7 linked regions of the Rattus norvegicus genome follow. The protein of the gene in region 1 purifies or fractionates together with the protein of each later gene. This does not show direct contact. Links are inferred from orthologs where the notes say so. Each region holds a gene or a part of one and is shown in the gene's direction. Other genes may lie near its edges. The genes, in order: Erbb2, Acsl3, Slc39a7, Lrpprc, Hsp90b1, Vapb and Timm50.

What was found.
Region 2: the proteins of Erbb2 (region 1) and Acsl3 purify together in Homo sapiens (affinity purification with mass spectrometry; 3 studies listed by BioGRID and IntAct, with this or other methods). This does not show direct contact. The link is inferred for Rattus norvegicus from reciprocal best matches to the Homo sapiens genes ERBB2 and ACSL3.
Region 3: the proteins of Erbb2 (region 1) and Slc39a7 purify together in Homo sapiens (affinity purification with mass spectrometry; 3 studies listed by BioGRID and IntAct, with this or other methods). This does not show direct contact. The link is inferred for Rattus norvegicus from reciprocal best matches to the Homo sapiens genes ERBB2 and SLC39A7.
Region 4: the proteins of Erbb2 (region 1) and Lrpprc purify together in Homo sapiens (affinity purification with mass spectrometry; 3 studies listed by BioGRID and IntAct, with this or other methods). This does not show direct contact. The link is inferred for Rattus norvegicus from reciprocal best matches to the Homo sapiens genes ERBB2 and LRPPRC.
Region 5: the proteins of Erbb2 (region 1) and Hsp90b1 purify together in Homo sapiens (affinity purification with western blotting; 3 studies listed by BioGRID and IntAct, with this or other methods). This does not show direct contact. The link is inferred for Rattus norvegicus from reciprocal best matches to the Homo sapiens genes ERBB2 and HSP90B1.
Region 6: the proteins of Erbb2 (region 1) and Vapb purify together in Homo sapiens (affinity purification with mass spectrometry; 3 studies listed by BioGRID and IntAct, with this or other methods). This does not show direct contact. The link is inferred for Rattus norvegicus from reciprocal best matches to the Homo sapiens genes ERBB2 and VAPB.
Region 7: the proteins of Erbb2 (region 1) and Timm50 purify together in Homo sapiens (affinity purification with mass spectrometry; 3 studies listed by BioGRID and IntAct, with this or other methods). This does not show direct contact. The link is inferred for Rattus norvegicus from reciprocal best matches to the Homo sapiens genes ERBB2 and TIMM50.

The regions. Positions count from the first base shown.
Region 1 is NC_086028.1:83,906,221-83,910,441, forward strand, and holds the start of Erbb2 (receptor tyrosine-protein kinase erbB-2 precursor), read left to right. Parts: upstream 1-1,380; 5' UTR 1,381-1,485; coding exon 1,486-1,567; intron 1,568-4,221. UniProt on the Homo sapiens protein: Protein tyrosine kinase that is part of several cell surface receptor complexes, but that apparently needs a coreceptor for ligand binding. Essential component of a neuregulin-receptor complex, although neuregulins do not interact with it alone.
Region 2 is NC_086027.1:87,601,516-87,605,173, forward strand, and holds part of Acsl3 (fatty acid CoA ligase Acsl3), read left to right. Parts: intron 1-724; coding exon 725-848; intron 849-1,056; coding exon 1,057-1,128; intron 1,129-1,405; coding exon 1,406-1,545; intron 1,546-3,409; coding exon 3,410-3,582; intron 3,583-3,658. UniProt on the Homo sapiens protein: Acyl-CoA synthetases (ACSL) activates long-chain fatty acids for both synthesis of cellular lipids, and degradation via beta-oxidation.
Region 3 is NC_086038.1:4,823,594-4,828,047, forward strand, and holds the start of Slc39a7 (zinc transporter SLC39A7 precursor), read left to right. Parts: upstream 1-1,529; 5' UTR 1,530-1,830; coding exon 1,831-2,223; intron 2,224-2,306; coding exon 2,307-2,475; intron 2,476-2,602; coding exon 2,603-2,656; intron 2,657-2,764; coding exon 2,765-2,947; intron 2,948-3,055; coding exon 3,056-3,193; intron 3,194-3,369; coding exon 3,370-3,566; intron 3,567-4,047; coding exon 4,048-4,320; 3' UTR 4,321-4,454. Other genes in the region: Rxrb (retinoic acid receptor RXR-beta), read right to left, coding at 23-240, 847-1,375. UniProt on the Homo sapiens protein: Transports Zn(2+) from the endoplasmic reticulum (ER)/Golgi apparatus to the cytosol, playing an essential role in the regulation of cytosolic zinc levels.
Region 4 is NC_086024.1:15,622,514-15,626,171, forward strand, and holds part of Lrpprc (leucine-rich PPR motif-containing protein, mitochondrial precursor), read left to right. Parts: intron 1-2,321; coding exon 2,322-2,515; intron 2,516-3,658. UniProt on the Homo sapiens protein: May play a role in RNA metabolism in both nuclei and mitochondria. In the nucleus binds to HNRPA1-associated poly(A) mRNAs and is part of nmRNP complexes at late stages of mRNA maturation which are possibly associated with nuclear mRNA export.
Region 5 is NC_086025.1:23,009,410-23,013,534, reverse strand, and holds the start of Hsp90b1 (endoplasmin precursor), read left to right. Parts: upstream 1-1,241; 5' UTR 1,242-1,365; coding exon 1,366-1,414; intron 1,415-2,323; coding exon 2,324-2,426; intron 2,427-3,177; coding exon 3,178-3,319; intron 3,320-3,748; coding exon 3,749-3,865; intron 3,866-4,125.
Region 6 is NC_086021.1:182,952,894-182,957,061, forward strand, and holds the start of Vapb (vesicle-associated membrane protein-associated protein B), read left to right. Parts: upstream 1-1,353; 5' UTR 1,354-1,469; coding exon 1,470-1,527; intron 1,528-1,990; exon of another isoform or gene 1,991-2,073; coding exon of another isoform or gene 2,074-2,131; intron 2,132-4,168. UniProt on the Homo sapiens protein: Endoplasmic reticulum (ER)-anchored protein that mediates the formation of contact sites between the ER and endosomes via interaction with FFAT motif-containing proteins such as STARD3 or WDR44.
Region 7 is NC_086019.1:92,707,382-92,711,532, reverse strand, and holds the start of Timm50 (mitochondrial import inner membrane translocase subunit TIM50), read left to right. Parts: upstream 1-1,221; 5' UTR 1,222-1,249; coding exon 1,250-1,357; intron 1,358-2,372; coding exon 2,373-2,523; intron 2,524-2,987; coding exon 2,988-3,019; intron 3,020-3,204; coding exon 3,205-3,226; intron 3,227-4,151. UniProt on the Homo sapiens protein: Essential component of the TIM23 complex, a complex that mediates the translocation of transit peptide-containing proteins across the mitochondrial inner membrane. Has some phosphatase activity in vitro; however such activity may not be relevant in vivo.

The DNA.
Region 1 (4,221 bases):
AGACGGTCAGTTAGTTGCCTAAGGTCACACAGCTAGTATGTGATAGAGTGAAGATATGAACTCAGGTCTTCTGGATACCAGAGTCCCATGTTCTCTGGTCCCTAGTGTGGAAGTGTCTACCTGAAACTGTGTTTCAGTTCAATGAAAGTAGATTAAGTGAGGGCCACCCTTCATTTCCCACCCCCAAAGACAACTCCGATTGCATTTTGACCAGCACAGGTGTGTCCTTGACTGGAACATTCCAAGTACCATCACCAGATTTAGCAAATAAAAAGGAAGGTTGCAATGAAGTTCAATTTGAATTTCAGATAAACGACGGTAATTCATCCGTGTAAACATGTCTCCTGCCATGTGTTCTTGAAATTTCCAACAAAAGGCATGCCTTTCTTCCCGTTCCTCACCTGTCACCAGGCTTCAGGAGTGGCATCTAGGTATTTCAGGGTTAGATTGGCAGGAGAAAAGGACAGGGACAGAGGAGACGCTGAATGAAACTGAGTACTGTGTGAAGTCATAGAGAAGCAGGCATGGGGCTGGAGAAATGGCTTAGCAGTTCAGAACATGCACTGCACTTGCAGAGGACCCAAGTCCTGTTTCCAGCACCAAAGAGGGCAGCACCCGACTGCCTGTACCTCCAGCTTCGGGGATTCCCACTTCCTCTTCTGACCTACGTGGACAATTGCACTTATGTGACACCCCCCCAACCCACATATGAATACACATAATTTGAAATAAAAATAAGTCTTAAAAAGAGAAAAAAATAAAAAAAAGAAACAGGCGAAGCTGTTCTTCCGAGGACCGAGATCCCCAACCCCATGTGACTGTCTCCTCTTAGTTCTGTGGGTTCCTCTAAGATCAGGCTGGAGATACCCAAAAGTATAGAATTGATATCCCAGAGCGTCCTGGAAGTCACCAGTTAACACAACACATCCTCTTCCCAGGCTGTCGATTTTACCTGAGGATGTGGCGGCAGACCCAGTATTTGATATCAAGAGGGTGATGCAAACGTCCCAGGAGTGTTCAAGATAAAACCGGAGACTGCAAAGACGGGTAAAGGGATGCTGTGCTTTTAGGAAGTGGATGAGAACTGCAAGCAAGCAAGCAAGCAAGCAAGCAAGCAAGCAAGCAAGCAAGCAAGCAAGCTAGGCGTCGGGGCACAGGGCACGGCGCACCCAGGCCTGCGCCGGGAGGGAGAAAGTGAAGCTGGGAGCAGCCACTCCCAGTCTTGCTGGAATGCAGTTGGAGGGGTGGGGGGGCGAGCCGAGAGCGCGCGGCTCCCAATCACGGGCGGAGGAGGAGGTGGAGGAGGAGGGCTGCTCGAGGAAGTGCGGCGTGAAGTTGTGGAGCTGAGATTGCCCGCCGCTGGGGACCCGGAGCCCAGGAGCGCCCCTTCCCAGGCGGCCCCTTCCGGCGCCGCGCCTGTGCCTGCCCTCGCCGCGCCCCGCGCCCGCAGCCTGGTCCAGCCTGAGCCATGGGGCCGGAGCCGCAATGATCATCATGGAGCTGGCGGCCTGGTGCCGCTGGGGGTTCCTCCTCGCCCTCCTGCCCCCCGGAATCGCGGGCACCCAAGGTGGGTCTTGGCTTGGGAAGGGCTCTGGCCGCTGTGGCTGCGCCCACGGGCGGCCGGAGCCGCGGAGCTCCGAGAGCTCTACGGCCGGGAGGTCCGGGGCGATGGGGCGATTCCGGCTGCCGGCACCGCGGCCCGGAGGAGATCGGAGCAGCTGGGGATGGGACAGCCACTCGGAGGACCACACTGGAAGTCCAGACCGGCCCCTTCTGGCCACACCGGAGCTTCCCGGACTCCAGGAGACTCCGGGAACTCCTCGGCAAAGTTCTCTGAAACTGGTCCGAAAGTTTTCCTCCGGAGGGTGTGTGAAGCGCTGTGCGTGCGTGCGCCTGTTTCCCCCTTTCAGAGCCCCTTCACGCTTTCTCAGCTCCTCCAGTTGGCAGCCTCCGCCTCCGGACCGGACTGGGGAGGATGCCTTCGGGGTCCCTTCTGCCCCGCCCCTCCCCCTCCCCACCCCCTTCGGCCCTTTGGGTTTAGTAAGTTACTCCAGCTTCCAGCGGGGTCGCCGTGGAGGGGGCGGTGGGGGAAAGTAACCCGTCCTGTGGAGCAGGGAGGACCGAGTGGCGGGTCCGCGTTGAGTTGCTTCTCTGACGGTGTCTGGGATTTGGGGGAGCAGGGGAGGAGGGGCAGGCATTTGTTTTGAACAGTTTTTCTTTCTCTTTCTTCTGTGCTGGGGATGGGACACCCCCACCCTCCATCCCGGTCTCGCGCGTTAGGCAAGCCCTCTACCACTGGGCTGCATACTCCACAGACCTGTTCTGAACAAATTTCCATAGAGCCAGCTTAAGTACTGTGTGCTTTGGGATTCTGGGAAAGCTCGGCTCTTGAAGGGTGGTCTTGTGTTTTTCCGGCTTCCGTACAGTAAAGTCGGAAGGGTTCCTGGACATTTGCGGGGAGGGCATCGAAAAGAAGTCAGGTCAGCTAAGGGTGGACAGAGAGGTTGTTTTCTTGCCTCTGTCTGTGTGTTGGGGGCTGGGAGGGTGACCCGGCAGTGTGTATACCGACCCATATGTCCAGTTCTACCATAAGCGTAAAAGCCGATAGTCACTCCTTGTGGGTCAGCTCTGCCAGGCTCCGTGGGTGGCGGTTTGCACGCATTCCTTCTTCTGTACTGAGAACAACTCCACAGTGGAAACATTAGTAGCTTTCTCATTGTCCCAGGGTGAAAACCTGGGCTGGGGAAATGAAGTATCATAGAATAAGCGGTGGACCCCAGGCAGTGTGACCAGCCACAGGATATGAGATATGAGTCACAGAAATGCGAGTCTACCAGGACAGTGGGGACACGGCTTCCCTAATCAGTGGGCTGTACTGAAGATGCAGAAAACAGGTTCTGGGAGCAGTAGATGTTTTCCAGAGGCCAGGGAGCCTGGAGGCTGGTGGGGTATCACCATCTATGCCCCGACCTCCGGCCCCCATTCTATCAGTACACCCTGTGCTTTCTGTGGGATACCCCTGTATGTCTGAGGTGTTTATGATGGTTATGTGTTCGTGCGTCCGTCCGGGTTTCTGTTGCCAAATAGCAATCTCTCTGCTGACCTGGGGACACGGGATGAACTCTGCCCTCTCTAGGAACTCCCTCAAGGTTCTGGGCTCTATCTGTTGTAAACACTGGGAGATGCCCCTTGCCTTGTTGGGATTGAAGTCTCCTTTCAGTTTCTCAGGAGGCCAGCCTTCCTTCTGACTTTCCGTTGGGAAGAGTGAGGCTAGGCCCTTGCCCTGAGTTGGGTCTGCTGCTGGCCAGGACTGAACTGCTCTGTGCTGTGGAGCAGGAGGGGGAGGGGTCTGCTCGCCAGACAGAGCGGAGGGCTGCTGAGACGTCATCCCTTCAGATGCACTGCTAGGTGCAGAGGGGTAAGACGGTTTGTCTTGCCAGGAATGGTTTTAAAAAAAAAAAAGAAAGAAAAAAAAAAAAAAGGCAGTGCACCATCCGCTGCCTCGAGCTCCGGGTTCTACCTCAGAACCGGTCTTGGGCAGGTGTATAGGGGAAAGGAGATATGGAGAGGCCCAGAGAGTCAAGATGTTGCTGGGCTTCTATGTACTTAAGGTTTTGCAAAACGCAGTAAACACAGGTCTTTACCTTTGCAAGGCTTATATCTATTTCAATTCTAGTATGATTCTCTCCGAGCCCCTCCTACCTTTTGCTATACAGGGACGAAAGAGATTCCTCTTGCAGAGGAGGACCTGGGGGTCTCTCAGGTCCCAGTTCTCACACGGTGGCTCACGACCACCGGTAACTCCACTACTAGGAGCTTTGATGCTTAATTCTGACCTCCACAGGCGTGATGTGTGTAGTGTTCACACAAGGGCAGGCAAAATACTCACGCACATCCAATAAAACAAACCCTAACAAGAGAAAAGAAAAATATACCGCATTTCAAAACCAAATGGGAAGGTCTTTCTCTTTTCTCCTGTAACTACCCAGATCCTTCTAAGTGCGTCTCTCCCGTTCTAAAAACTTCTGTGTGCTTCCTACACAGCAGATCCCTTTTCGTAGATGGCATTGTGCCCTCTCTGCGCTGTCCTGTGGAGCAGGTGTGTACAGAAAAAAGCTCTACTTCAGAGAAGTGAAGAGACGTATCGGGGGGGCCTTTAGAGGTGGTCAGAGTTGTAGTCATCAAACAGGAATGGACTAGGAAAGCCTCATGGCAGCCGGG
Region 2 (3,658 bases), on another chromosome or scaffold:
ATTCAACCTCTGCTCTGGCCCACCACCCAACAGAGGGGTAGTAGAAAAGAAAAGTTATTGGGATATGGGGGAAGTGGACCTGTTCAGCAGTAGTTGTCTGGGGGTGAACTCGATCTTCTTTCTCAGTGGTTCAGTCCTGTAGCAAATACGACTCAGCAGCTGCAGAGCAGTTCTAGGCAGGCAGACACCACCCATGAACTGGCAGCCATAGTCCAGGTCTCAGCAGGCAGACACCAGGCACAAACCAGAAGCTGTAGTTGAATCCTGGAAAAACCACAAGGCTTGTCCACAGGCCTGAGGTGAGGCCACTGAAGTGGCAAGCTGCATCAGGAACCTCACAAGCAGTTCTCTGGCGAGTTTCTCTCAGTGGTGGCCTTACCACAGTTGAGCTCAACAATGCTATGTAAGGTAAACATGCACGTCATTAGGAAGAATAGTGAGGCAGAGCAAACCAAATCAAAGTTCAGTACTTGTTCCTTTTGTCTAATGTGGGGTCATATTTATTATATACAACTTCATCACAGGTCCTTCCATGTGTTCGCTATATCAAATATCCTTTCACCTGTGTCTGCTTCAGGAAAACGCTCTTTCACGTGTTTGCTTTTAAGTAAGACAGCCTTTCATCTGTGTGCCCCACCCTGTAAAACATATTTGACATAACTAACTTTCCAAAGATGCTAGACGTTTCCACCTTAACCTTGGCTCTTATCGGCCTTTCTTTCAGAGAGGAAGATGTATACATTGGATATTTGCCCCTGGCACATGTTCTAGAATTAAGCGCTGAGCTTGTGTGTCTTTCTCATGGATGCCGGATTGGCTACTCTTCACCACAGACATTAGCAGATCAGGTGAGTGACACATGTGTGACGTGAAATGCTGTGTGTTTTTAACATGTTTTCTTCATCAGCTTACATGGTATCTTCAATTCCTTTTAAATTCTTGCCCTGTATGTCTAGAATATAAATAAATACACTGACAGTAAATATATGCCTTTGAACTAAGAATGCCATTATGTGTTAAAGATCTTTATGTAGATTATTTTTTTCTGTTCTGTAGTCTTCAAAAATAAAGAAAGGAAGCAAAGGAGACACATCCGTTCTGAAGCCCACGCTGATGGCGGCTGTGCCGGTAAGAACTGCCACAGGTGATGGGTGGTGACATCATTTAAGACAAAGTGCTTGGTGTGCAATCTGAGGACCTAGTCCAATGCCTAGAACCCGTGTAAAGGTGGAAGGAGAGATTCAAGTCCATATCATTAATTGTCCTTCAACCTTCACATAGGCACCAGGGCACAGCCATGCGTTGTCCTACAACACACATAAAATAATTAGAAGTATTAATTACATGGGTCTGATTTAAATGTGAAGCTTGCTCATACAGTTAATGAACTCATTTATGCACCTAGGAAATCATGGATCGGATCTACAAAAATGTCATGAATAAAGTGAATGAAATGAGTGCTTTTCAACGAAACTTGTTTATTTTGGCATATAATTATAAGATGGAGCAGATTTCAAAAGGGTGTAGTACCCCACTGTGTGACCGGTGAGTAAAGCCTCTGTGAGTAAAACTATGGCAGCAGAGTTCCCATCAACAGCCCAGGGAAGTGGAGCAGTACACGTGGTACATAGACATTAAGATGGGTGTGTATGCAGCGCAGGCTGGAACCCTGCAGTTGGGAAGTAAGGGGAGGAGATTCAGAGTTCAAAGCTGGAGGCTGGAGAGCTGGTTCACTTTTACTGTAAAAGCATGGGTGGAGGGAGAGCGATAGTCGGACACCAGTGCCTCCTGGCCTCAGTGTCGCCTTCCCCAATGAGAGTTTCCCTGGCTAGAACTCACCTGCCTCTGCCTTCTGCGTGCTAAGATTAGAGTCTGGATAGCTTAGGTGGCAAAGAGATTGAAGGGGCACGTGCCACCACATGGTCAGCCTCAACACAGCTTCTCAAATGGTTGCCCTTGAGTCTTAATCCCTTTCATAGTGCTTAACAAGTTTTCATTTCCATGGTTCTGGACATTAAATTAAACCTAAGCACTACCTGCTTTTGACTTATAAGCAATGTCTTTACTAGTGTTTTACAGAAACATATCAAATAGATATTTTTATTTCTCATAATTTACCATATAATTTTTTTTACCATAGCTGTAATAAAAACTTCAGAACTTACATTAGACTTTAAAGAGCTTGTTATATATAAATATGCATAAATTTCTAGTGAATAAATAAAAGCAGAAATTAGCTTTTTACAAATTATGTGAAGATGTGGTATTCATAAATATGTATGGTAATGAGTTCTCTGATCATAAAAAGGGATTTCTGATACAACAAACTTTCATCCTCTGTAAAACCAGGGGTTCTGTGGGTCTCAGAAGGGAAGCCCGTGCAGGGCAGGTAGCTGGGGTCCCGGGTCTTGCCCTGTACCACAGTGGCAGGGGCAGCAGCAGTCGGCAATGATAGGTGGCAGCAGTGGGAGGGACGACAGGGATGTGTGCCTGGTTTGCTAGCTGTGTCTAAGTTCCAATGACGAATGCTTCCCGAGAGAAAACTTTCTCCAAAGTGTTAACAGCTCAGTAAAACAACCACTCTCAGACGATTCTCAGTGAAATAACTCATGTACTTTACTCCATGTGGATAGGGACTTTATAAACATTGAGGAGTGGGGTGGGATCCAGGGCAAGATACTTCCTACTGGCTCAGTTTGAGAAGCTAGTGATGCTCTATTAGCAGGGGGAAGGAGGACTTGAGGTGTTTTCCCCACGTGACTGATTTATGGGATCCAGAGCAGGTGGAGTGTGGCAGGGAGCAGGCCCCACTCGTACCTTTCTCAATTCTGAGTTCATGCGTTTGGGCCCACTCAGCACTGCCAGTTCTGTGTTGTTTTATAGTCCACTTGCCCACAGGAAACAATTGTATATGATTTACTATCACATGGAAATTAATTAAGAGTACATGGCATTTTCTTTGCTGATAGAACTACTCACACTTAAGACAGACATATGGACCCAAGAGAAGCTCCTCAATGGGCTGTATCACATCGATTATATATAATCTCACAGGCCATATAAGAAAACTGAGGAGGCACCACAACTAAGGCAGCTTATAAAAGAAAGCATTCAATTGGACACATTTAGTTTCAGAGGGCTTAGGCCATCATGGTGGGGAGCACTGGCTGGCCTGCAAGGTGGCTGAGAGCTTACATCCTGATCCATAGGCAGCAGACAGAGTGGGAATGGTGCTGGTGTTAGAAACCTCAGAGCCTGCCTCTTGCGGCATCCCTCCTCCTAAAGGACTATACCTACTAATCCTTCCAACAACTGGGAACCAAACATTCAAGTGTGTGAACTTGTTGAGCCCATTCATTCAAACTACCACACTGTTTTAAACGTCTTGAATTTTCTAATGATATTTCAGCTTTGTTTTCCGGAATGTCCGAAGGCTGCTGGGTGGAAATATTCGCGTTTTATTGTGCGGTGGTGCTCCACTTTCTGCAACGACACAGCGATTCATGAATATCTGCTTCTGTTGTCCCGTTGGCCAGGGGTATGGACTCACAGAATCTACTGGGGCTGGAACAATTACAGAAGGTAGGTGCTGTCATCTGAGAACCAGGCAGCTCTTACGTACGTGGACCCGGTATTAATGTGGGACACGTGGCCGGCA
Region 3 (4,454 bases), on another chromosome or scaffold:
TGAAAGTGTCACAACTTCTCACCTGAGGGCTGCTGACAGGCCCGGAGAATCCTGGGGGAGCCGGAGGGGGCAAGCCAGGAGACCCCATGGAAGAACTGATGACTGGGAAGGGGGAGCCCAGTGGAGGGGGTGGCATTGGAGGTGGAGGTGCTGAAGGGGTGTGAGGTGGACCGGGAGGAGAAGAGGGAGGGATCCCCTGGGAAAGGGGATTTGGGGAGGAGCTGTCTGGGCTTCGGGAATCTGAGAAGTGGGTACATAAGACAGACACACAGACAGGAGAGACAAGAAGAGAAAGTTGAGTCTCTCGATCACCCAAATGGACACTTTTAATTCTCCCCGATCCACCACAGCCCACAACCCCAGAGTTCAGAAACACCAAGTCATCAAACAATTTCACTCCTAAAAGCTGGGAGAGGAGGCGGTTGACAAAAAAAAAAAAAAAAAAAAAGGGAGGCAGTTCAGGCGGAGCCTATTGGGTCATCCCAAGCTGACCTCGGGAGGGGGGTGTCAAGAAGCACGTGGAGGTGCACCAGTGAACCCCTCGTTCCCAACTTAGAACATTCGGGGCGAAGAGTATGGAAGATATACCCAGTCCCAGAGCGCAAGCTCAGCCTTCCAAAGCCCAGAGTCCTCCAGCCCAAGGGGAATGGTGTCCTTCCCACGCCCGAGACCGCACACACTGGCCCCGCGGCGCCGCACCTGGAGGGCGGAAGCTCCCCCGCCGCGCCCCGCCCCGGGGGAGGGCGCTGGGCCTCGGGATGGAGAGGGCGCGTGTTTACAAACAAGGGGGCGGGAGAGCGGGGAGGGGGCGCGAGGGGCGCCGGCCCGGGCCCACGGGACACTCACCCCGCCCGCTGTCGCCCATCCCGTCCCGGCCAGCCTCCCCCGGCTCCGGCTCCAGGGTTTGCTGCTCTCCGGCCGCCGCCGCCGCGGGATCCAGCCAGGGCCGCCGCCGCCGCCACCGGGACGCGACCCCACAATGCATCTCTTTTCTCACCCCCACCGGCCCACACTGCCCCGCGGCATGCCGCGGCGGGAGGAAGGGCGGACGAGTGGCCCAAGACATGACGCCGGGGCCGAGGGTGGGGGAGCCGGAGAGGCGCCAGGGACGCGCAGGGGGCAGAGCGGGGGACTCAGGGAGCGCGAGGAAGCCGCCGAGGAGGGCGGGCTCCGGCCTGTGGCAGCGCGACTCAAGCGCCGCGCTCGGCTCGGCACCGAGGTGACAGCACCGACGCGGCCGCCATCTTTGTATAGACGGGAAGTCTCGCCTCGAGCTCCCGCCCCCTCGCCGAGATGGAAACGGAGGAGGCGGTCTCCGCCGGCCTGTCAGCCACTTCGCCCGCCGTCCCCTCAGATAACCCCCGGGTGCGCGCATGCGCCCTGGGGCCGTGGCCGCGCCGTCCTCGGGGCGCCGCCATGTTGGTAAAGGTAGCGGGGCGCAGGCAAGAGGGAACTTCCGGATCTCGCGGGAGCTTGAGGCGCGAGTGCCACGTCCCAGCAAACCGAGAACGGAGAGGATCCCGGAGCCGGTGAGAACTCCCTGCTGCTCCCTTACGGCGCTTTCCATGCTTTTACCCTAACTACTGAGCCATAGAGACGAGGGCCCAGAGAGACCGTAAAGTTGCGGATCAAAGGCTAGAGCGGTGTTGGGGGGTGGGAGGTTTGGGGGAGCTGCATCCAGGAAGGGTGTCGGGGATGAAGAGAACTGGCCTTGGGAACAATGTAAGAGGGGAGCAAGTGGTATAGAGTGGACGGAAGGGCTTCAAGGGAAGCGGATCCCGCATAGGTAGAGAGTCAAGTAGACTCGTCTCTGTTCCTCTGGTCAGCGTGATGGCCAGGGTCCTGCGGGACCCCCACTGGGTGGCTGTGGGACTGCTGACCTGGGCAGCTTTGGGGCTGCTGGTAGCCGGACACGAGGGTCATGGTGACCTGCACAGAGACGTGGAAGAGGACTTCCATGGCCACAGCCACGGACACTCACATGAAGATTTCCACCATGGCCACAGCCATGGCCATGGCCACACTCATGAGAGCATCTGGCATGGGCATGCCCACAGCCACGACCATGGACATTCACGGGAGGATGTGCACCATGGCCATAGCCATGGCCACTCCCACGATAGCCTCCACCACAGAGGACATGGACATAGCCATGGAGCCTCTAGGGAGGCTGGGGCTCCAGGCATCAAGCACCACCTGGACACTGTCACCCTCTGGGCCTATGTGAGTCCCCGGGGGACGTGGGGAAGAGGGACTGGTGCTTAATTGTTGGAAGACTCCATATTTGCTTTCTGACTCTCCTCCAGGCACTGGGGGCCACAGTGCTAATCTCCGCGGCTCCCTTCTTCGTGCTCTTCCTCATCCCTGTGGAGTCAAACTCTCCCAGGCATCGTTCTCTGCTCCAGATCCTGCTCAGTTTTGCTTCTGGGGGGCTCCTGGGAGATGCCTTCCTCCACCTCATCCCTCACGCCTTGGGTAAGTGACATGTGGGCTCCATCTCAGAAACACAAGCTGTTTTGTTCGTCCTCTTTAATGATCCCAGGTCTCCCAATAGTTCTCAAGTACACATCCCCCATCTGTCCTTTTTCCCTTCTTCCTGTAGAACCTCATTCGCACGATACTCCGGCACAGCCTGGCCACGGACACTCCCACAGCGGTGAGAAAGAGTTAGGGACTGGGACGCTGGGAGAGGCCTGCCTCTTCCCTTCCTTCAGCACTTATATCTGAGTCTGCATCGCCCTCATGCCTCATTCCTCCATCCCAGGCCAGGGCCCCATTCTCTCTGTGGGGCTGTGGGTTCTCAGTGGGATTGTCGCCTTTCTTGTGGTGGAGAAGTTTGTGAGACACGTGAAAGGAGGGCACGGACACGCGCACGCGCACGGACACGGACACTCGCACGGAGACAGCCACGCGCACGGACACAGCCACGCACACGGGGATAGGCATGGTGAGCCCACCCCCATTGCCTGCTACACAACACGCTCAGGCTCATCCGCTGGAGCAGGACACGGAAAAAGCTCTGTTCCCCACTCTGATCAACTCCTGTCCCCCTCAGAGTGTCCTTCAAAGGGAAAGCCCAGTTCAGAGGATGAAAAGGAAGCAGGGGGCTTGCGGAAAAGGAGAGGAGGAGACACGGGGCCCAGAGATGGCCCTCTGAAACCTCAGAACCCTGAAGAAGAAAAAACAGGCTCAGGTAAGGGATGAGTTGATGGGCTTACTACTCTGAGTTTCTCAGAGTGTTTGCTGTGGGTGACGGTGGGGCTCTAGGAAATGGAGTGTGCATGCGTGTGTGAGCATGCACGAAACAGCTCGAGGACTGGTGGTGATGACACCTTCAGTCATTTTTGTCCTTTGTCTATTTACAAAAAGACCTGCGTGTGTCTGGGTACCTGAATCTGGCTGCTGACTTGGCACACAACTTCACAGACGGGCTGGCCATTGGTGCTTCCTTCCGTGGGGGCCGAGGGCTTGGGATCCTGACCACGATGACAGTCCTGCTGCATGAAGTGCCTCATGAGGTTGGGGACTTTGCCATCTTGGTCCAGTCTGGCTGCAGCAAGAAACAGGTTGGTGCTGACAGCCTGCCATTGGTTCCTCACGAGCTACACTACCATCCAGCCTTTTAGAACCCGGGAAAGTTGCTTCTCTATCTCCGAATCTCAACCCTCCCATAAGTACAGCCTGGAAAGGGCCTCTGATGGCCTACAGTTTCTCAGGAGATGTCTGTTCTAGTACCCCCTCCTCGACCCTTTATTTTTACCAGGCTGGTATGGGGCTGGGGGCCTTGGGTGTGGTCCTGAGGCAGTCTCATTGCTGACATGTTAACTAGCCAGGGAGCCCCAGGCAGCTGCTTGCCTCTGCTTCCTGTGCTGGTGCCTGGGGCCCAGACTCCTGCCCTGGTGTTTGTGCAGCAGATACTACAATGGGTCCATCTCCCCACCTCACTTTCTGTCTCCTATCCTTACATGGACACCACACAGCTGTACCCCACTGGTCCCCCAACCTTTAGTTGTTGATGATCCTGTCTTTCTCCTTTCTGCCCTCCAGGCGATGCGTCTGCAACTCTTGACTGCAATTGGAGCATTGGCAGGCACAGCCTGTGCCCTTCTCACTGAGGGAGGGGCAGTGGGCAGTGAGGTGGCTGGTGGTGCAGGTCCCGGCTGGGTTCTGCCATTCACTGCAGGTGGATTCATCTATGTGGCAACAGTGTCCGTGCTACCTGAGCTACTGAGAGAGGCATCCCCGTTACAGTCTCTCTTGGAGGTGCTGGGGCTGCTGGGGGGCGTTGCCATGATGGTACTGATTGCCCATCTTGAGTGAGGGGTGGGTGACCTGTCCTACCCCTAACTCCAAAATAAAGGCAGTTGGGACCCTGGCCAGTGCATTGTCAGGAGGCTCAGCCTGGAGAATGGCATCTTTGGTATTTGAGGCCTTAGAGGTATGAGAGTCACACA
Region 4 (3,658 bases), on another chromosome or scaffold:
GCCCATTGCTTGTGATAGGAAGCTCCTGTTTTCTTCTAGGTGTGCCAGAGTTGACTTAAAAGTCAGTTCTGGCTGGAGTTCAGGTCAGGATAGAGTGTTTCCTTTGCATATGGGAAGCCCTGGACTGTGGTGGTGGTGGAGGTGGTGGTGGCGGCAGTGGTGGTGGTGGTAATGTATACTATCATTTAAAGCTCCATTAACCAGGGACTGCATGGCATTGCCCTCGGCCCTCCACACATACGTTGCAGTTGTATAGCTTGGTCTTCCCGTGGGACTCCTAACAGTGGGAGCAGGGGCTGTCTCTGCTGTCGCCTGCTGCCTTTGGAACCCTTTCCTCCTACTGGGCTGCCTTTTCTAGCTCTAAGAGAAGAGGAGGTGCTAGTCTTACTGCAACTTGGTATGCCAGAGGCTGGAGAATATCTAGCCCGCCCTCTCCTGAAGAGAAACAGGTGTGATGGGGGAGTTACGGGAGGCGGGGACTAGGAGAGGAGGGAGGGGAAATGGGTAAACTGCAGCCAGGATGTAAAAAGAAGTCGTGGGTGTGCTCATCAATAGTCATCTGATTTGAGTGGCATAGAAGTCAGCAAGTTCACCTCTACTGCGCAAAAAGTTCTGCATTGTATGAATCAGTGCACGTGTTCTGAGTTATCAGTAGTTTTTGATGATTATTATAGTAATGGATAACCATAGGGGGCAATATGCATCTTCTCTGGTCTGTGGGTGATAACACCCACCTCTCCCTCCCTCTCTCTCTCTCTCTCTCACTCTCTCACACTCTCTCATTCTCTCACTCTCTCACTCTCACTCGTGCACATGATGTGCAGAGGATATCACCTTACTTGGCGATATCCCTCCCCACCCCCATAGTTTCTGATTTATTTCTGTATATATGATGGTCAGGTGTTGTGATTGTCTCTGGTCACTGGTGTAATTTCTACAACAGTATTAGTTACAGACTCTGGTTTGCATGTGACACAGCTTTTGATGCCACTTCACATACAGTCAGTTTGTGATGCAGGAAAACGGTGGCTTTGGGGACAGTGAGATCAGACCTAGGGCCTTTTGCACACTAAGCGAGTGCTCCATTACTGACTTACGCACTTAGCTCACCACCGCTGGTAAAAGGTGGTCTACAATCCAGAGAATGTGGTTATTCTGGAAGTATTTCTTGAGTTAACATTTTTAGGCATAATACTTAGTATAACAATGGCAGCTGAAAATAAGATATTTGGAGTAGATCCCCAAGAATTGCATATGTTAAAAGGTAAGATATTGAATTCACAGAAAGCCTGTCAAAATCAAAGATTTATGACAGTAATTTTTACATCTAGGGATTTTTTTTTTCTTGGTTTGTCATCAAGTACAGCATTAATTCCTATAACATGAAGCACCACTGATAACATGTTTATGAACATTCAATTGTATATTAAGCTGCATTATCAAATATTGATTTAAAGAGTTTCTTCTGGAGATATCAGTAGCTCAGATTTTTGGGGGCTTCATTAGCACGGGCCCCATCCCTGCACCGAGTAAACTGTGGTGCAGGCCTGCTAGCCCAGCAGAGGGAAAAGCAGGAAAACTACAAGTTCAAAGTTATTGTTGGTTCTTTTGGAAGTTCCAGGCCAGCCTGGACTGAATGAGTTCCTATTTCCAAAAAAAAGAAAAAAGAAAAAAGAAAAAAGATTGCTTATTCTGTAGAAACATGTATTATTCTAATTTTAGCTTATGACATCTTTAAAACTGTTTAAGCCAGAGTGCAGTTTTATTTTTGACAGTTATTACTTTAAAGACCGAGGGAAGCATTCAAACAGCGTGTTGACTCAGAGTCATGAAAGCGGGTGCCTCGGACCTAGTTATGTTCATAATGACGTAACCAAGTTATGGCCATAATAAACTTATGCCCAGACAAAACCCTGAAGGTAGTTTAGAGTTTGGAGGCTGCCTTGGCCTTTGTCTCACTCACATGAATGAGAAGAGTGCGTTATGAGCTGCCTCATTTTTCCTTCATTAAGGGAAAATAATTTTAGCTTCTTAGTTTGAGATGACTTCATGTTGAAGGTTATCAATCCACTCAGAAGCAGTGTGTGTGTTTGTGTGTGTGTGTGTGTGTGTGTGTGTGTGTGTGTATGTGTGTGTGAGAGAGAGAGATTGATTGATTGATTGATTGATTGATTGATTGATTTGCTTCAGTGTACACTTTGCTCCAGGCTTTGCAGTTTGTGTGTGGTGACTGTCGGAGCTGGTGTGGACGGGTCACACAAGCAGTGCCTGTGTAGACAGCAGTTTGCTTAGTTTATTACTAATTCTATTTCATTTCACAGAGAGCTGCTGAGCCAAGCCAGGTTGTATGCCATCGTCGCTGAAAAAAAGGATCTTCCAGAGGAGCCTGCTCCTGTGAGAAGGAGTGGCAGTCAGTTTGATTGGGCCCTAATGAGACTGGATAATTCTGTCCGGAGAACGGGCCGCATTACCAAGGGGCTTCTGCAGAAAGTCTTTGAGAGCACGTGCCGCTCAGGTATTGAGAGTTTCTCGGTAGGAAGTCGAAGCTTGTAACGGTTCCTGGAAGCTCACTGGGGAGAGCATCATTTGCTATTCAGCATCAGTTCTGATGTCAGCTGTGACTCTGATCCTGCTATGCTTCCAATTCATCCAGGCAGAATTTGAAGTAACACGAGAATATTTTGTTTAGAGTTCATTTCAGAGTCAACAAACAAAAACGTCTGTTTGCTTCCTCTGGTTTCTAGAGTTGCTCTCAGTGGTCAGCTGAGGTAGAAGACACCAGGCTTTCTCTTCTTTCTTTGTGTGGTATCAGCTTTTCCTGAGGTGACCTCAGTGAAGACTGACAGGCACCAGGTCACTTTGATCTTGGATAGTGGGACAGGAGCTGCAGACCCTTTATTCCCAGGCTTTCCCTCACATCACAACTGCAGCGAACCAACACGTATAATTTTGTGTGCAGTTGAAGAAATTCTATACACTCCCAGAGCCTGTTAGGGGTGTCCCTTTGGTATGGAGCAGAGCTTCTATGACAGTCACAGTCACATGCACTCAAGGACCAGAACCTCCCATCCACTCAGAGCTGTTCATCTGTCACAACTTTTCCATGGTCACCCTCCCCAGCCCTTCTCACCCTTTCCAGTCCTAGGCACACACAAGCTATTTTCTGCCTGCCCTCTTAGGTGCTTGCTCTGGATGGACTTATAGATAGAGCTATACAGTGCATGTTTAGTTTCTGCCCTCTTAGGCGCTTGCTCTGGATGGACTTATAGATAGAATTATACAGTGCACACTTATTTTTGTTTCGTCTTAAAGTCATTTTCAGGGACATGGAGATGAGCTTGAGTTTGATAATGATGAGTCCTTATGTGCCTTTTGTCATCTTCATGATACCGAGATGCTTAGCCTTTGGCGTGTAGCAGATACGCTTAAAAATTTGCTTTCTTTGGACTCATTAGTTTTACAGATTACGAAGTTTCATAACCTTAGGCTTCTTAAAGCAGACACTGTTAGAACTTTAAATTGTAATGTGTACTGATGATGTGGATCGGGCGGTGTTTGGGTACGGCCTTGTCTTTGTTGAGCCAGGAGGCTGTGGATAATTAAGGGATATTCTTCTTGATCTCGAAAAGCCTGAAGATTTGCAAACCACTTATAAGCT
Region 5 (4,125 bases), on another chromosome or scaffold:
GACTTCCCTCACCAGAGAGCCTCTCTTGCTGTCTGTCGGAAGGCGGAAAGGTGTTTCTATGAAGTTACAAAGCCACAATCCAGGCTATTTTGCAAGCACTGCGGCTTTTGCTTTCAAGTATCTGCAAATGTCCTTTCCTGTTCTATGCTAGCCTGGACTTCACCACCGTGCTCTCCAGCCGAATCACAAGAGGGACTCTAGATTGCCAGGTCATTCCTTGATATTTAATGGGGATGTCAAAGGAACTTGGGTTCTTGGAGTTTCCTTGGGGGTTGGTGAACCCCCACCACCCTCTACTGCAAATCAAACCAGAGAGGTCTGGAGTTGCGGGCAGCGCAACGCCAAGTGAAAACCTGAATGACGCGCTAGAAAGCCGACCTGGAAACCGGCGTGCTACCATCAGCCAGAGGCGGAGCCCAGAATCCGTAGCTGGCCCTCTGACACGGCGAGACTAGGGCCACGCGGGGCGACTTTCCAAAGCCGCCTCTGAAAATTGTGTGCATTAGAGTCCTAGAACAAGCATAGATCTATTCTGCAATCCGAATTAGGTGGAAATCTAAATCACTCAGGAGACATTTCCCGCGGACACAAGACCAGAGTAAGCGCAAGGGCCAAACTACGCAACTGGCTTAGACGCCAGAGACTACAATTCCCAGCATTCTTGAGACTAGCGCGTTGCATGCCGGAAACTGTAGTTTCTCACCACCATCCAAACGCACTCCGGATATTCAACCCCTCACAAATTTCTCTTTTGCGAAAAGAAACGCCCAAAAGAAAGGTGACGGCGAACGTAGCGCTGAAAGGGCTCGTAACGTGACCCACGTCGTAGACGGGAAAAGGGTATAAACCACATTGTCTTGGCTACGGTTTCCCCTAGTCACGGAACAAACGTTCTCTAAGAGCCGGAAGTGGTTCCCCGGGACCTCTAGGAAAGGACAGACGTGCTATGCGCCTACATTCATTGGACGGTTTTCCTCAGAGACCAAGGCTTCCCAGGCCAAGGGGTGGCCCGGTGTGTGAGGGGCCCGCGGAGCCATTTGATTGGAGAAAAGCTGCTGGACAAACCCAATCGAAAGGAGCCACGCTTCGGGCATCGGGCACCGCACCTGGACAGTTCCGATTGGCGAGTTGCGGTCCCCCCCATGCGTCCCCATTGGGTGCAGAGAGTGCGTGGTGAGGCACGATTGGTGGGTTCGTGTTTCCCGTCCCCCGCCCGCAAGCTGTGGGGTGAAAAGCGGCCCGACCTGCGCGCGGTTTAGTGGGCGGACCGCGCTGCTGGAGGTGTGAGGACCTGAGACTCCGGGTTGGGGGGGTGGAGGCGGCTCCTGCGACCGAAAAGGACTTGCGACTCTCCGGCCACGCACCATGAGGGTCCTGTGGGTGCTGGGCCTCTGCTGCGTCCTGCTGACCTTCGGTGAGTGATCGGGCGCCCCCCCACCTTCCTGCGCGGCCGCTTCTCGAACGTTCTTGGGGCGTTGAGCCTGGGAGGGGGATGCCGGGGGCTACAGAGGGTCCAGGCACTATGTCCTTTCCTCGAAGGGGACTCGGGTGATGATGCCTTGCCCTGAGGCCTCTGGGAAGAGGAGACTTGGAGCCGCGGTATTTAAATACTCTGCGGATGGAGCTGGAGCGCTCCCCGAAGTCTCGCTGGCGGGGCGCGGCCTCTCGGACTCTACTCACGGGGGAAACCTTGCTGGGGCCCCTCCCTAAGGACTTTTGTCATCAGGTCCGACCTTTGGCCACCCGAGCCTGAGGACCCCTAGCCCCTGCCCTCTGGTTCTTCCAGAGCGTGTTTCTGTTTTCTAACGCCCGACTCGCGAGCGTGGGCCCTCGGGCCAGCTTGGTGGCGGTGGCCCAGTATCCGATTCCGATGTGCTTCAAGCGCGGTCCTTGACATGTCTTCCCCTTTGGGCCGGATTTCAGTTCCCCTCAACAGAAGTTGCACAAACCCTGTTTGCATTCCGACCTGTGATAGTTAAGCGAGGCCCAAGTTTTGGCTTGGCCTGTGTGGAGGCCTGCTCTCGGCTGTGCGCAACACGTGTGGGTGTAGACGGGAGCCTGTATCACTCACTGCCTTGTGTCTAAGGAACGATAGACATGAGTGATGGCTGCCTGGCCTTCCAGAGTCAACGGGGGAGTCTTGAGCATTCACATTTAAACTTCAGCGCGCAAACATGCCTTGACATTGGTTACTAACGTCAATACATCATTTTTCCATCACGTCGCTGAATTGTGTTAACCCTCCCTCTTGCCCTGCTTGGTCTGTCTGTATATGGGAAGGAGAGGAAGCAGTAGTATTGAGAGTTTTAACCTTTCTCCTCAGGGTTTGTGAGAGCTGACGATGAAGTCGATGTGGATGGCACGGTAGAAGAGGACCTGGGTAAAAGTAGAGAAGGCTCACGGACAGACGATGAAGTTGTGCAGAGGTCAGTGCATTTGAAACTATGCTGATAAACTCTGCAAGTTAGTGGGACACATTGGCTGTTTTTGTTCTCCAGACATTGAGATTACAATGTGCAGTGTGTGAAATGTTGCTAATGATACAAAATAACCAGGGAGTTCTTAGGAGGGCCCATTTATCTGCATGCAGAACTCTCCTAGGTCAGTCTGCTCCTAGGAGTGACTACTGATTCAAGAAGGAAAGTTGTGGGGTTGGGGATTTAGCTCAGTGGTAGAGCGCTTGCAAGGCCCTGGGTTTGGTCCCCAGCTCCGGGGGGAAGAAAAAAAAAAAGAAGAAGGAAAGTTGAAGGAGGTGCTAGGAATAAGCCTCGGCATCCAAAATCAGAAAACCGATGACGAAGTTGTAGGCCTCTAAGACCTGACAGAAGACTTCAGATTGGTTTTTATTTTCGTGAAGTTAGTACTATGAAAAATAGAACTTATGCCTGTAACTTTTTTTAAGAAAGGGGCTTTTCACTGGGTGAGGTGTGTTTTAAATTTTGATCAAAGTGTTCACTGCATAGGCATACACGAATCATGACTTGCTTTTCAGTAGATGGGAGCTGGGTGTGTATTTCTGGGAATTTTTGTAAATCTTTGCAGCCCAGCATTAAGTATAGCACCCATTTCTGTGTAAGAGTGAGCTGGTATGTTAGTGGTCTTTTACAAAGGTGTATCCTGAGTAGAGACTTAGAAAAATGAAACTAAGTATTTGCTTATCTATTTTGATTTCCTTAGAGAGGAAGAAGCTATTCAGTTGGATGGTTTAAATGCATCACAAATAAGGGAACTTAGAGAAAAATCGGAAAAGTTCGCCTTCCAAGCTGAAGTTAACAGGATGATGAAACTTATCATCAATTCTTTGTATAAAAATAAAGAGGTAAGCATCACACGGTTAGGACAGCAGCTCTGCTCCTTTTGTGGTAGATTATGAATGAGAATTGCTACTGGTACATATTGGGGTGGGAAGGGAGTAGACAATGTCCCCAGCTTTCCTTTCAGCTCAGAATAAGGTTATGACGTGCTGGCTGAGGTGGAGTCACACAGCTGTACCACTGAGGGGGTGGGAGAGGTAGTCCTGTTCCCACCGCTTCAGATATCCCTTGTACTTGCCACAGAGCTTTATAGAGTCACGCCTCCTTTTTTATGAAGAGAGTAAAGCCATCCCTGGCACTAGAAAAGGCTTGGTTCTTAAAGAGTGCCTTTTCATGCTTCTGAGGAGAAAGGAGAGGAGTTGGCCATAAGAACCAACACCTTACTGTGCCTGGAGGTTAGTCCCACTTCATTAAATCTGGCTTCTTCCTTTTAGATTTTCCTGAGAGAACTGATTTCAAATGCTTCTGATGCTTTAGACAAGATAAGGCTCATCTCACTAACTGATGAAAATGCACTTGCTGGAAATGAGGAGTTGACGGTCAAGATTAAGGTGACTTAAAAAACTGTTTCCTTTTAAAAACTGATACTCAGAAACCAGGCACCGCATCAGTAGGTTATTCTGGTGTGAAAGGAGCTTCTGCTCACCGTGGGTTTGGATGGAAGTCCACAGGCTACCTGTGAGTCAAACTGACTTGGCCTGTTTTTTATTAGGTTTATTGGAAGTCATACCTAGTTTTATAGTACAAATTCTTTTGTCTACAATGGCAGTAATCACTGACGGGACCTTATGGCTCCTAAAGCCAAAAATAG
Region 6 (4,168 bases), on another chromosome or scaffold:
AGAAAGCCCAGTCACAAGATTTCACAGTATGACAAACCAGACAGTGTGGCAAAACACAGAACGGAGACCGAGGGAAATGTGTTTCATTCAAAAGCACAAGGCATATAATTGAGGAGTGGGTGACGATGATGAACTGCAGCCCTTCAACTTCAAGACAGCAGAACACAAATGTCATAAAAGCTAGGCTTTCATAAAGCATTACACGCATTAAAAAGTTAAAGCACTGAAGCAGCAGTAACAGAACACACACGGAGAGAACAGATTGAGAGGAAAAACCAATCTTGAAGAGCAAGAAATGAGAGGCAAAGAAACAGTACATCCAATGGGAGAAACAACATAAGGTGGCAGAAATAAATCTGGGTACAACAGCAAATATAATAAGTATAAATGGACTAGATGCACAAGCTAAAAGACAGAGACTACCCCTTGAAAACTTTTACTGGGAAAACGAGCTCAGGTATATAGAACATGGGAAATTCATGAACAACATGGATATTCCTGCCATATAGAGCCATATTTACCCCATATACGAATGTCTGATGAGGATGCTATTAGGGTCTGTTTTACATAGTATATGTTTACACAATGAAATACTAGTCACACGCTAATAAGAGCATACAGGGCTTATTTTGGGCATTAGACTGAGCTAGGCTCCCAGACACTTTTAATGAGATTTATGTGTGTAACTAATTTATTCTCTCAGTGAGGTCCTAGCAAGGTCTGAAGCGGGTCGTTTTCTGGTTATTGTATTTCTGAATATTTCTTGCATAAACAAATAATGCTATCAGCAAACGGTTCGGTGTAGTGCTCTGTGGTTTGGTAAACACTGAATGCAGAGTAGCTTTTATTTATGACAGTTACTGAAAGCATTCAGCAGAGTGGCACGAAATAAGCAAACAGTAATTGCCAGTTTATTATATTTTATAATTGTTATTTATGAACTGTCACAAGGCCTGGCACATATCACTAACCCGTAAGTAAACATTGTGTTTGTAAGAATAATAAGTACTTTATTATATTCAGGCTCAGTAGAGCCTGGCACCACACGTGCGTGAAGAAAGTGGAAGTTTATTCTTGTTAATTATTATTATTAAGTAAAGCACTTAACAACAGTTTTCCCCACAGGCGCTTACTGAACAGTCTAGCTGGAGACCGCCCCCTCCTCCCAAGCCTCGAGAGACCACGCCCACTGCCACGGAGGCTCCGCCCTCAACCTCCCGGCTGCGCCTGCGCAGTGGCCCAGAAAACCGTGCGCATGCGCAGTCTTCATTTTGCCGCTGTAGCCTCTGGCCACTGCCGGAGCCCGGCAGCTGCTACGTGCGTGCGTACGTGCGTGCGTCGGGGCGTGCGTACATACGTGCGTGCGTGCCGTGAGCTCGCCCGGCACCGCGGCCTCGCCCTCCGCCCCTGTGCCCCGCCACCCAGGCCGCCGCCCCCCGCCCGCGCCGCCGCCCCCGACGGGGAGGACCATGGCGAAGGTGGAGCAGGTCCTGAGTCTCGAGCCACAGCACGAGCTCAAGTTCCGAGGTAAGCGGGCGGCCGACCCGGGAGCTGTCACTCAGCGGCCGGCTCCGGAAGGGACGCGCCCTGAGGGCAGGACACTGTCCGCCTGAGGCCGGCATGCACCAGGCGCCTAATGCATGCATGTGGAGTCAGTGCATGGAATCGGCCTGAGTACTCTTCTCCTCAGCTCCCCCGGGGCAGCGAGCTGTCGGGGGTCTACAGCCCACGAAGTCTGTGCATACTTTCTATGTAGTACACTTTTTGTATACATTTGTGTGTAAAGGTGAACTTTATACACGCAGGCGTGCACAGGTGACTAAAAAAGTGCATTTATACAGATGTGTATGCATGGCATATGCATGTTATAGATAGTGTGTATACATACATGTACTATATATGTGTATATACACACAGAAGTGTGTGTGTATGTGTGTATTCATATTTCTATTCACTAATTTTAAGGTCCAGAAAGCAACAGGGTCCGTGCCCAGCCTGTTCCTTGCTTCGTTGCATATTTTGAGTCATGAGACTGGGCACTGGAGGCCTATAAAGCTCAACAACCTAAGCAAGATGGCGGCAGGCGGCTGGAAGTACTGGGAAGGGAAGGATGAAGTTGGACTCAATGGAGGTGTGCTTCAGGTTGGCCAATGTGATCCTCTGTGTATTGCCTACATGTAGGCCACAGCTGGTGCTCACGGTTTTGGGTGGCTGAGAGTCACCCGTTTCTCTGCCGTTGGGAAGTAGCGTAGGATCACAGCTCTTACCTAGTCGTCGCCTTTGAGTCCTGATTTCGGACTTTCAAACACTTTTAGCCATCGTACCCACAAACTCTTGGGAAATGCTTCATAGCTGTGAATGTCCACCTTGCCTTCCAGGTTCAGAGTGTGCAAAGACACTTACAAGGAAGCAAAGGCCCTCCGGTTAACCTAGAAACACAAACCTCAGGCCGCCTGACCCTGGGCTGTAGAGATGGTTCACCATTTAAAAGCTCCTGCTGCCCAGGCTGAGGACTTTAGTTCAATCCCTGAGACTCACATGGTCAAAAGAGAGAACTGACTTCTGCATGTTGTCCTCTTACCCCCAGCAGGTGCAGCCTAGCAGGCTTGTGAACAAACACACAGACACGTACACAACAGATTTTAAATAAAAGCATCCGTTTAAATGTGGATCCTCCGCACCAGAGGTCCCCCCCTCCCCCACTTACCAGGAATCCCACTTGGTAGTGACAGGAAAGTGGTGTGCCTTTGGTAGCAACTGTTTGGGAATTTGAATTCTGATCCTTTTCCAGGTTATGGACCTGTGCATGACCGCACAGCCGTGAACCGCCGCCATCTGGTTATCACTGTACCTCTGCATAATTGTTTTGTGTTTGCATCCCCTCATGTCTACAGAGTGTCCATCTCTGTGGTGGGGGGTGCACATGCACGGAAGCTCTTCGGCGTGTGTTTTTATTTATTGTGTGTTTATGTATCGTGTGTGTGAGGGGTATGTGTGTCACAGTGAGTGTGTGGAGGTCAGAAGACAATTCGCAGGCGTCTGGCATAGCAGTGCTTTTGTCTGCCGACTGTCGCACTGGCCTTCTCTTTGAGATCTGTAGTTCTCACCGTCTGAGGTCCACTCAGGCTGACATGATCCTTCTGTCTCTGCTTCCCCGTTGCTGGTATTGCTGGTTTAACACATCTTTGGATAGCCTGTTGGGATCAGATGGACTTTGTGCTATAGGGTTCTGTGGGCCTGTAGGCTGATGTAAGTCTGGAGCATGTTGAGATCAGTGGTGATGTTCAGAAAAGTCAAGTAGGTTGAATCCACTTTTACGTAGACATATTTTCAATTTAGGGAGGGGCTGTCATGTCAGTTGGTTTTCTCGGCTGCTGTTCTCCGACACCCACCTTTCCTTTGCATCCAGGGAAAAAGGGGGCAGATGAGGTGACCCAGACTAGAGAGTGTGGGGAAACAACTTCCCAGGGAATGGGAGGTGACAGAGTATCATTGAATCTGGTTACAAAGGTCCAGTGGCAGAAAGGGGGAAGTGGGTGGGAGTGTCCGGGCCTGGCCAGTACTGTGCATGGAGGTCTATAAGCCGGAGTACTTGCTTCTTGGAGATGCTGTGGTTAGGAGTTGCGGGTCAGAGTAGAGGGCCAGACTGGCTAGTACACAGTGTCAGGTCTACACACCCACTGGGTGTAATGACTTGACTGATCTTGATACCCCAAGCCCCCATACACTACTGCCTCTGAAGGAGGAGAGTGTTCCAGCTCTTCCAATTCAGTGTGTGTGACCTAGGGTGCCATTTGCCCTCTTACCTTTGGGTCGGTGGTGGTGCTAAGAAGGTGACACTTCTCCAGCCAACATCACTGGTTGCCAAGGAGATAGTCCAGGGGTTTAGTGTCCGAATGTCTTCACTCTGGAAGAGTCGTCCAGGGATGTGTGGAAACTTGATGGGGGTTGGGGGGTGTTTCTTGTGAGTGCCAGCCATGTATTAGTGTGGAGCCTTTGCCTTGCAGATGAAGTCTCACTAAGCTTTCAGGCCAGTATGGAGCGAGTGGTTTTCCTGCCATAACTCCCTGGTGCTGGGATTGTATGTGGCACCACCAATCCCAACTGGGGTGTTCAGTTTCTTGGTTTGTTTGCTTTAAGCTGAGTGCTGAGGTGGTAAAATGAGAGG
Region 7 (4,151 bases), on another chromosome or scaffold:
GCAGAGACTGAAGGAATGGCCATTCAGAGCCTGCCCCACATGTGGCCCATATATATATACAGCCACCAAAACTAGGTAAGATTGATGAAGCTAAAAAGTGCATGCTGACAGGGACCAGATATAGATCTCTCCTGAGAGACACATCCAGAGCATGTCCAATATAGAGGTCAATGCTAGCAGCAAACCACTGAACTAAGAACAGGACCCCCTTTGGGGGAATTAGAGGAAGGATTGAAAGAGCTGAAGGAGTTTGCAACCCCATAAAAACAACAACGCCAACCAACCAGAGCTTCCAGGGACTAAACCACTACCCAAAGGCTCTACATGGACTGACCCAGGGCTCCAACTGCATATGTAGCAGAGAATAGTCTTGTTGGGGCACCAGTGGAAAGGAAGCCCTTGGTCCTGCCAAGGTTGGACCACCAGTGCAGGGGAATGTCAGAGGGGGGACCCATATAGGGGAGGGGAAGAGGATGGGGGCTTATGAACAGGAAACCGGGAAAGGGAATAACATTTGAAATGTAAATGAAGAAATGTATCTAATTTTAAAAATTAAAAAAAAAAAAAGAGTACTCTGCTCTTCCAGAGGGCCTGACTTCAATCTTTAAAGAGATATGATGCTCTCTTCTGGCACGCAGGAGTACACGCAGACTGTGCACTCATTTAAAATGAATGAATGAACGAATGGATGAGTGAATAAATGAGTGAGTGAGTGAATGAATGAATCAATCAATAGAAAACAACGTACCCCAAGTTCACTGCTTTCTTAATCACTCTCAAACCTCAAACTAGTCAGCACGGAAAGTTGCTTTGGTTGAATCCAGATGATTGGTAGATCTCCAGTCCTTTCTAGAAACTCACGGCGGAAGGGGTAAAAAGAGACGCGAAAGGAGACCGACTCAACCTCCTAGTCCACGTGAGAAAAATTGAGGGCTGCCAGTTAGCCCATTTTTTGGGCCTCTGTCCATATCTGACAATGGAAGGTGAATGCCAAAGTCCGAGCGACTGGATGGTGGCCGTCCTTAGGGTCCCAGGGGGCGTGGTACCAGATGACAGTATTCCAATTTCGCGCTCGGGGATAGCCTGAAAAAAACCGACTAGGAGAGCACCTAAGGTACTCCGCCCACTCCTTTTTGTCCCTGTCGGGCTCCTGTCCACACGCACCACCTCAGCGATCCCATTGGTCGTAGTCCTCTCCTGGGCGGGAGAGAGGGAGCGAGTGGGCGGGGCCGCGTGGCGTCAGCGCAAGATGGCGGCCTCGGCAGCTCTCTTCTCGCGCTTGCGGAGCGGGCTCCGGGTAGGCGCGCGGGGACTGTGCACGCGGCTGGCGCCGCCACCTCCCCGCACTCCAGAACAGGTAAGTGGCGCCGGAACCTGCGCCCCGTTATGGGGCTCTTTTCTAAAGTTTTGGGCGTATGGTCGCAACCCGGCGAGTCTGGAGTACCGCACCTCAGGGTGCTGAGTGGGACGGAGCCGGTGTTTTCGATGTTTCCATGCTTCCTGTGTGGACCGTAGTTGCTCCCCAAGGGCTGGATTATGGAAGCCCCCAAGTGCATCCCGTGGAGCCCAAGTCTCAACCACGTGGGTGCCGGGAGAGGTCACCTGTTCTGTTATCAGTGACCATTCAGGTGATACTTGACGGGGGAGGGGCCCAGGACGCCAGAGACCCGGGCTCTGTCCCAGTGACATTTCATTCGCAACAGTGAGCGAGAGAAACAGGAAGGATCCAGTCTGCCGTCCGTTTCGACCCAGCCATTCTGACCTCCAAGTTCATGACTTTCCGTTCCCTAAGTCCAGACAAGGGATAGCCTCTCCTCGCCCCTGCTTCCTTCCCTTTCAAACCCTCCATCTTGGGCTCTGGGTGTCCGAATATCTCAGCTGTTCGTCCTGTCCCATGGGTGTCCTCTGTCCTCTTAGTTTTGACATCCCCAGCTAACACGTACATACACACACACACACCCATCCCTTATTCTCCTTGCCCTACTCTTCCTGGCTCCAGACTTTGCAGCCCTATTGGTTCCAAGACCTTGGGCAATCTGACCTTTCAGCTCTTGAACCCCTGTGATTCTCTAGACAGTTTAGTTTTTTTTTTTTTTGTTTTGTTTTGTTTTGTTTTGTTTTGTTTTTTTTCGGAGCTGGGGACGAACCCAGGGCCTTTCGCATGCTAGGCAAGCGCTCTACCGCTGAGCTAAATCCCCAACCCGACAGTTTAGTTTTAACCCTCTGAGGGGATCAACCTCTGAACTTACAGTTTTCTGCTCTGGGTGTCCACTTCCTGGCTCTTGATCTTGAGTCTACTTGGACCAAATTTAGTGTCAGAGTATTCTGTTATTTTTCTTTCTATGACTTCTCCTCCTTCCCCCTCCACTCAGGTTACTGAGATCGCCAACCGTGGGGGCTCCAAGACCCAAGGGCCACAGCATCAGCCAGGCTCAGAGGGTCCCAGCTATGCCAAAAAAGTTGCACTGTGGATTGCTGGTTTGCTTGGGGCTGGTGGGACTGTCAGCATCGTCTACATTTTTGGTAAGAGACATAACCCTCAATTGTTGGCCCCAGATATCTACTGTGAAACTCCCTTTTCTTTCTTCATGCTGAGTTCATTCCCTGACTCCTCCCTCAATAAGGCCATCAACTAGGATACTCACCTTGAAATTCAAGAAGTCCCCTTCTATCCCTATCCTCTAGTCGTTCCCTGTACCTGAATTCAGGAACTAAGGGGACGGCGGGAAGAATAGGACAAGGGAGAAATAACTATCATGGTGCCTGAAGCTATGTGTTCATCTCAGCAGAAAAAACTAACCCTTGTGTATCCTTCTTAGCCTCAGCCCACTTGGAATCCTTGCCTCCACCTCTTCCTCCTTTAATCCAGGAGCTGTGCCTCTAGTAATATTCCCTTTGAGTGGGGAGTTCAGACCCCCTATTCTCCCCCTCCAGACCGAGCAGACTAGGCTCCAGTTTCTTTATTTGTCTCTGTCCCTCCCTTGCAGGAAACAACCCCGTGGATGAAAATGGCACCAAGGTGAGGAGGAGTGTGTTCTGTAAGGGTGTGGACAGGTTCCTTTCCGTTGGTTCAAGCTCTTCTGTAGTCTGGAGGGAGCATCTCCCTTCTCCTGGGACCTTTGTCTACTTAGCCTTGAGCTCCCAGAGTGGATGTGCTGGTGTCCTGCCTCTGCCATTTCAAACCTTTCCTTTTTCCTCCCCCAGATTCCTGATGAATTCGACAGCGGTGAGTGATTAAACAAAGATCTGGGGTTCACACCTCTGCTATTTTATTTGTTTAGAGTGCTATTGCCCTGTCCTGTACACCAACCCCTCCTCCGCCTATGGAGGTGCAACAGTTAGATGGCTCAGGGAAGGGATGACAAAAGCCCCAGCTCCCTTTCCTGGCCCCTCCGCCCTGGAGCAGATGGTCAGGAACAGATGGGGGCAGGGAGCGTCATCAGTCCATCCCAGACACAGGCTTTCTTTGCCTTAGATCTAGACATCTGCAGCCCCTGACCCCACTCTTTTATAACACCCTCTTTTTTTTTAATCCCTAAGTCCCTACTCCAACACATGCGTCCTTTCCAAAACAATGTCTATGTCTATGCCTCTGCCCCTGCTTCTCCACCCTTCCACCCAGACTGAGCAGAGTTTGTCAAGGAACTTCTGATAAGTTAGATGGGGAGTAGTTGTAGTTTTTACCTGACCATTCCCTAGGTGGGTCAGAAAGGGCTGTGTTTGGGTGGAAGGTGTGCAGACAGCATGGACAGGCACTGATGGCTTTGTTTACACACGGCAGATGGGTGAGTCTGCCCTTTTAACTGGACAGGGGTCAGCCCCCTTGTTTTATTTATTTTTTTTCCTGTTTGTTTTTGAGACAGGGTATCTCTATGTAGCCCTGGCTGTCCTGGAGCTCACTGTGTAGACCAGGCTAATCCCAAGCCCACACAGCTCCACTTGTCTCTTCTCCCAGTTGTTGGGATTAAAGGCCTGAACTACCATGCCGGGCTCCCCACTGGTTTAAACAAATGATCTAAACTGGGCAGGTAGACATGGGAGGTTAAAGCATGTCAACTGGTTTAAACTGGCTCCAATGGTGTGACTATAAGAGGCAGGCTCACGGATAGAGCTAGATATTATTTCACTGATAATATTTCCGTTGAATTTCA